Linked DNA regions of Cricetulus griseus. The protein of the gene in region 2 binds, or shares a complex with, the protein of the main gene of each other region. Links are inferred from orthologs where the notes say so. Each region holds a gene or a part of one and is shown on either strand. Other genes may lie near its edges. The genes, in order: Sln and Atp2a1.

The links.
Region 1: the proteins of Atp2a1 (region 2) and Sln are in contact, whole or in part, in a crystal structure (PDB 3W5A), measured with the Oryctolagus cuniculus proteins. The link is inferred for Cricetulus griseus from reciprocal best matches to the Homo sapiens genes ATP2A1 and SLN. Residues at the interface, in XP_069919846.1 of Oryctolagus cuniculus: Phe88, Val89, Leu96, Ala100, Ile103, Val104, Trp107, Arg110, Asn111, Asn114, Arg324, Lys328, Trp794, Leu797, Gly801, Leu802, Thr805, Ala806, Phe809, Trp932, Ser936, Leu939, Leu943, Leu946, Ile947, Val950, Pro952, Leu953, Ile956; in NP_001075856.1 of Oryctolagus cuniculus: Met1, Glu2, Arg3, Ser4, Thr5, Arg6, Glu7, Leu8, Leu10, Asn11, Phe12, Val14, Val15, Thr18, Val19, Leu21, Ile22, Trp23, Leu25, Val26, Tyr29.

What each region holds. Positions count from the first base shown.
Region 1 is NC_048597.1:165,582,364-165,585,161, reverse strand, and holds Sln (sarcolipin), read right to left. Parts: upstream 1,301-2,798; 5' UTR 1,238-1,300; coding exon 1,142-1,237; 3' UTR 784-1,141; downstream 1-783. UniProt on the Homo sapiens protein: Reversibly inhibits the activity of ATP2A1/SERCA1 and ATP2A2/SERCA2 in sarcoplasmic reticulum by decreasing the apparent affinity of the ATPase for Ca(2+). Also inhibits the activity of ATP2A3/SERCA3.
Region 2 is NC_048596.1:74,326,798-74,330,613, reverse strand, and holds part of Atp2a1 (sarcoplasmic/endoplasmic reticulum calcium ATPase 1), read right to left. Parts: 5' UTR 3,604-3,816; coding exon 3,486-3,603; intron 3,212-3,485; coding exon 3,194-3,211; intron 2,874-3,193; coding exon 2,791-2,873; intron 1,448-2,790; coding exon 1,343-1,447; intron 394-1,342; coding exon 255-393; intron 1-254. UniProt on the Homo sapiens protein: Key regulator of striated muscle performance by acting as the major Ca(2+) ATPase responsible for the reuptake of cytosolic Ca(2+) into the sarcoplasmic reticulum.

The DNA.
Region 1 (2,798 bases), on a different chromosome or scaffold from region 2:
TTTGGTGTATGAGTGCATTTGTATATATGTATGCATGTTCACATGTTTGCATGTGTTTTCTACATATGTGGTTGTATGCTTGTGTGCATGTTGGGGTACACTTATATATGCAGGTGTGTGCATGAACATCTGTGCACATGCATGGGAAGGTTAGAGAACAACCTCAGGTGTCATACCTCAGGTGCCTCCCCATCTGTTTTTAGAGGGTCCCTCGTGGTGTGAAACTTGGTCAAGTAGGCTAGTCTGGCCAGCCAGAAAGTTTCCAGGACCTGTCTTAGCTGTCTCTGCCTCCTATCTTCCCATACCTGGAATTACAAGCTCACACCACTGTCCTGGGCTTTCACATGGCTCTTGAGAGTCTAAACTCAGGCCCTTGAACTTACAAAGTAAGGGCTTTACTGAGTGAATCACCTCCTGAGCCCATTTCTTGTGAAAGCTATGGGGGAAAGCACAAGACTTAAGAGGAATTCTATGCTTTTAGCAGGCACTCTAGGCTCTGACCCAAGACTCTAGCAGGCTGTAGTCATTCTCCCTCTGGCCGTAGGATTAGCAGAGGAAAGGTTTGAGAAGCAATGGAATCATTTGAAATGGGACACCCTGGCTTGTCTTGCTTTCAGATCCTAGGCAGCTGGAGCATCCTGGCTAATCTCAAATGCTAGAAATAATGTGCTATTTGTCACTTCAGTCCCAGCCAAGGGTCACACAGGAGCTAAAATAAATTCTAAAAGCCGTTTTCATGAGTGGCTTAACTTTATTCACATGAGAACTCAAGGGACTGGCAAAGACTTCCGTGTACATTTCTTCTGAAGGGTTGAGTTAGTTCGGTGGCAGACAGGGTGGGTTGGGGGATGTGTGTTGACACAGACCAGACATTGTTGTTGCTCTGCATCATCAGGAATACAGTTTAATTTTAACCTGGTGGCCTGAATCGTGCATTTACTAGGGAACAAGCCTAAGGCTCACTGGCTAACAAGCTTTTGGCAGCCCACAAGGACAGCATCTTTAGAAAACACACAACAGTGTCAGGCATCGTGAGTGCGGGTCAGAGATGGTGTGGTACCAAGAATAGCATCCCATGACAGTAACAGCAGTGGAAGCTCGGGGCACACAGCAGTCACTCCCAGAAGTGCAGCATGGCCCCTCAGTATTGGTAGGACCTCACGAGAAGCCACATAAGGAGAACGGTGATCAGGACAACTGTGAAGTTGAGAAATAGCTCCTGGGTAGACCGCTCCATCTTCTGAGTGAGAACTCCAGGCAGACTTCTGAGAGCACACCAAGAACCTCCGGCTTGTCCTTGCTTCCTAACAAAATAAGAAAGACAACATGGGAGATAAGTGAGCGTGCCCGGAAGCTGTCCAGTCTTCCTTCAGAGAAAAATGAAGTATTTGTGCTGACTTCTCCAACCCTTCCCCCCAAACTTACACATTGAAATCCTATTCCCCAAGACCTAAGAATGTGACTGTGTTTAGAGATGAGGTCTTCCCAGAGGTAATTAAGCTAATATGCGGTCACTGTCATAGTTAGCTTCAGCATCAACTTGATATAAACCTAGAACCAGCTGGGGAAAAGGACCTCAACTGAATAATTCCTCCCATTTTAGGAGGCTCACAACTGCCTAGAAGTCTAGCTCTGGTGAGATCTGATGCCTCTGATCTCCTTGGGCACCTACATTTATGTACACATACCCCCCCCACACACAAACAAATGCATATAATTAAAATAATAAGAATAAATATTAAACAATAAAAATAAATCTTTAAAAAGAAAACATAAGGTAAAACTGAAAGGTAATTGAGCAAGCCAGAGGAAGCAAGTCAATAACCAGCACAGTCTCTGCTCCACTTGCTGCCTCCGAGTTCCTGCCCTGAGACACTGCTGTGGCTTTCCTCCAGGATGGACTATACCTGTAAGTTACAAATAACCCTTTCACCTCAAGTTGTTTTTGGTCAGTGTTTTACCACGGGAAGAGAAGCAAACTAGATCAGTTACTAGTGGGCACTAATTCAGTATGACTGATGTCTGAAGGAGAGGAGGTTAGGACACAGACCCATTACAGAGGGAAGACATTGCAGAAACAGAAATGATGGCCATTCTCAGTCCAAGGAGAAAAGCCTTGAAGGAACCAGCCTTGCTGATACCCTGGTCCCCAACATGTGACCTCAGATTTCATTTGAAGTTAAGTTTCCACTCCTCTCTGAGGCTACAGCCTGGCAACTTACCTTGAGTATTTTGAACTTGCCAACCTTCAAATGATATGAATCAATTTCTCAAACATACACAGACAGACAGACAGACAGAGTTATCTGGGCTTCTCTGAAGAGCATGGATGCATACAAATAGCCTAGTTTCTCTTCCTGCTGTCATCCTAAGACCAATGTTTTTATCCTGTATTAATTGCATTGTTTTAGGTAAGTAATAAAATATTGCATTTTTCTCTCTTCATCTTCATGTCATGTGTTAACTTTGCTGTTTGGAGTATCTGCAAGCAGGGACACCAAAACAGGGGAAAAATATAGTTTAGTATTGCTCTTTCTTTGGATCACATATAACATCATCGTTCAGATTTAAAACTGCCCTAGGTCTTCATCCAACCCTGGTGAAAGAATAAAGTAGCTCCAACAGCTGCATGGCTTTGTACAAGCCTACTCTGGCACAAAGCCTGTAGAGGTCAACTAGAAGTCCCTCGCACAACAGGTACTCAATCCAAAGAACAAGTGTTAACCTCATGAGCATTTCTGTTTCAACAAGAGCTTGTGCCAGCTATTTTTAGTCAAGCTCAGGATGTGCCTAGATTG
Region 2 (3,816 bases):
TGTTGGCTGAGAGGAGGGGGGGACAGGGGGTCCGTCTACTGCCTCAGGGACAGGACTAGCTGTTCCTATTGAGACTCTACTGGGGAGGGGTGCTGTGGCCTGAATGTCCTGGAGTGACCCCTGAGGAGTCTGGGAAGGAGAAGCAAAGACAACACCATCCTCACAGATAAAGAATCAGGGCTAATGGGCACCCTGCTCTCTTCTTGGCCTCAGACCCAAGTTTTCCCTCCTGGACCATCCATCCCAGCACTTACCGGCCACCTCCACAATATCCCCAGGGACAATGTCCCTAGCCTTGATTCTTTGCACTGACTTTCGGTCAGCCCGATAGACCTTCCCCATCTCAGGTTCATATTCTTTCAAAGCCTCAATGGCGTTCTCTGCATTCCGTTCCTGAGGAAAAAAGTGGAGTCAGAGAGAGAGGATGGTCCTGGTCCCGCAGGAGGCTGGTCTGGGTACATGCAGGAAGAGTAAGGGATGTGCAGACAGAGGAACCAGTATTATGATCCTAGCAGAAGTAAGGACATTGCAGAAAAGGCTGGCTTATCCAAGTCCAGCTGGCACAAAAGGTGCACAGAACCCCACATCACAGCAGGGGTGTGTCTGCTGTAGAATATATTGCCAGTGGCTAAAAACAAGTGAGAAAGGTTTGGACCAAGAGGAAAGGAATTTTAAAAAGAAAAAAAAAAAAAAACCGAGAGCAAGGGACAAGAAAAGTAAACTGATAATGTCAGAGGAAGAAGGAAATCAAAACTAGTTATTTATTTAGTACCTACTATGTGCCTTGAACTTTCATGTTCTTTTTCAATTGCATCAATCCTGAGAAACACAGTCATTGTTTTTCCTTTTCTTTTCTTTCCTATTTCTTTTTTAAATAGGGGCTCTCTATGTAGCCCTGCCTGGCCTGGAATTCTCAATGTACTCTCTACACCAGGCTAGCCTCAAACTCACAGAGGTCCACCAGTCTCTACCCCTGCAACTGTGGGAATAAAGGTGTGTGTCAATACATCTGACTCCATCCCCTTTCCTTTCTCCTCGTGGTGGGATTATTAGTATGTTCAACCTTGCATAGCTTTTGTTGGTGGTGGTGGGTTTTTTTGTTGTTTTTTTTTTAGGACAGAATTTTACATTGTAGTCCAGGCTAGCCTAGAATTTGAGAGTCTCTTGCTTCTGCCTCTGGAGTGCTGTAGGTGTGTCCCACCACACCTAGCTTTCTAGTCCTATGAGAAGACAGAGGAGTGGGGAAAGCTAGGGGAAATGATGAAGGAAGGGGAAATTGGAAGGCGGCTTGGCCCCTCGCCCAGTGTTGAGACACAAGTGGGGAGAAGGGGTCAAAACTAACCTGCCAAACCCCCACAATGGCATTGGCAATGAGGATCAAGAGGATGACAAAAGGTTCGACAAAGGCAGTGACAGTTTCTTCGCCTTCCTCAAACCAGGCCAGCACCTGAGAGGGGAAGGGAGAATAGCAGGTGGTAACAAAGCCCCCAAATGACTAAAGAAAGGAACTGGAAAGCTTCTTAAGACTGCTGCAGATGTCAGACGATGTATACAAGTGTGAGGTTCTTCACACTGCAGGCGCTGAGCACACAATACCCATTCATCCTTGTGATGGTGTGCAAATAGGCAGTACAGACACACACTTGAGGATTCACTGGGAATGCTTTCAGGTATCCCTGACCAAATTGTTGGCTTGTAAGCAAACCTGCCGGGAACACCCAGGGTCAACTACCCCTACAGCAACATCTATCCCCACAAGAACCCAAGCCCAACGGGAAAATCCCTATGGTCCCCAAAGAGCCCAGCCCACCCACAGCCCTCCCTTACCACCAAGGCATGGAAGCTCCAATTTCATGAGAGAACAGGAGGGGAGTAGGGTTACAGGCCTCCAGCACCCACCCCACCCCAGCTGTTGCCACTGCCAGGCAGCAGCCACAGGCAAATGTCAAGGAGCAAATCTGAGGAGAGAGAAGGGAGCTGCCAGCTTAGACTCAGAGTGCATGAGGCCTCCATAGATGCTTTATTTTTATTTATTTATTTATTTATTTATTTATTTGGCCTCTTAGACCTTATTTTCCAGCTAAGATGCTAAAGAAATTCTAAAATGTAAGACAGACTGCTGGGATGGTGGATGACAGGAGCCAGCAGCTGGGGCTGTGAACACTGGAGATGTAACAAGGAGATGGGATAGCTAAGGCTCTGAGGGGGCTGGGGACACTAAAAGGTAAGGATGATTCAGGCTGGATAAAGAGATGTAGGCACCAAGTGCCAGCCCCTAATGGAAGTAGGATGTAGTGAAGCCTGAAGACAGTTGAGGGGTGGGGTGTGGGGGTTGTAGAGACTGGAAGGCATCCTGGCAGCTACCACTGTACCAGTAGCACCTTCCCCACCTCTCTAAGCAAGTCTCTTTTGGCCAATCAGCATCACAGGCTGTAGAGGGTAGGGAAGGATTGGTGAAGCAAAGTGGGGACCAACCAGGACAGGCAAGGAGTGGTAGTGACCCCCAAGTGGACACATCGAAGCTGGGAGTCCTGTGCTTAGGGGGTAACCTGAGCCCTTGAAGCCCTTGAAGCTGGGAGGGTGGCTTAGCTTCAGTGTTTTGGCTGAGAACACTCTCAGGGCTTAAAATAAAACCTCTCTGCAGGGAGGGAAGCAAACCAGCACCCCACCCCCAGCTCCAGCATGGAAAATAGGGTGTTTAGGGCTTGGACCAGGGCATCAAGGATGGTAAGAGGCACAGCCAATCAATCACAAGTCCGACACCACTCTTCAGACAGCCCCCAGACTTACGAAGGAAATGCAGGCAGCCAGGAGAAGGATCCGCACCAGCAGGTCTTCAAACTGCTCTACCACCAACTCCCACAGGGACTTGCCTGGGGGAAGAGGCAAGAAGAGGAATTAAGATCCAAAAGATGAAGGTCTGTGGCTCTGGATGGGCTAGGGTCTAGAGTCTATAGAGTGCCCTGGACCTCTGGGTTAATGGGCAGCCCAGCTTGACATGAGAGAAAGAGATGAAACAGCCAAAAAGGCCCTTCAAATCTGTAGCAATTGTTCAAGGGTGGGAAGTTCCAAGGAAGAAACATCTGGAGATGTCTGACACCAAGCTCTGGGGAGGGGCATCTGGAGAAGGCAGGGAGCGGGGATGAACACACAGAAGTATCACTCAGGAGGGCTCAAGGCTCAGATAACTTACCTTCCTCAGCAGGGAGCTCTACCCAGGGAAAAAGAAGAAAAGGACAAATTTAGTAGGGGTCCAGCCTCATGTCTCCCACACCCTGAACTTTGCATCTAAGAGAATCAGCTATCAAAAGGGCATCTGAAGTTCAAGGTCACCTAGAAAACCTCCCCAAACTCCAGATCATAAAACTGTTTTCTTTAGTATCTTCCTTCTGCCCTACTTGTCCCTACAGACCCCAGAGGAAGCCGTTCCCACTAATGGGCATGGGAGGGCAGCCACACCAGCCTCTCCTCTAAGGGATACTTACCATTGGGGCCGTATTTTTCCAGATGCCGCTTAACTTGGTCTGGGGTAAGGCCTGTGGTCTCGCTCACCCCAAAATAGGACAAACATTCCTCTGTGGACTTGGAGTGTGCGGCCTCCATTGTGCTCCCTTCTTGGGGGCCAGGGGGGCGATGTATTCCTTCTTAGGGGCCTCTCACTGGAGGGGGGACTTCTTCAGTGTGTCCACCTGCCTGATGATCTAGGCTTCTTCCTTTTTCTTGCCTGCCCCCCCCAGATTCTTCTTCCTTCCACGAAGTTCTGACCCCAGTCCCACTTGCAGCAGCCGGCCACCCCCCCAGCCCCCAGCTGGTCCT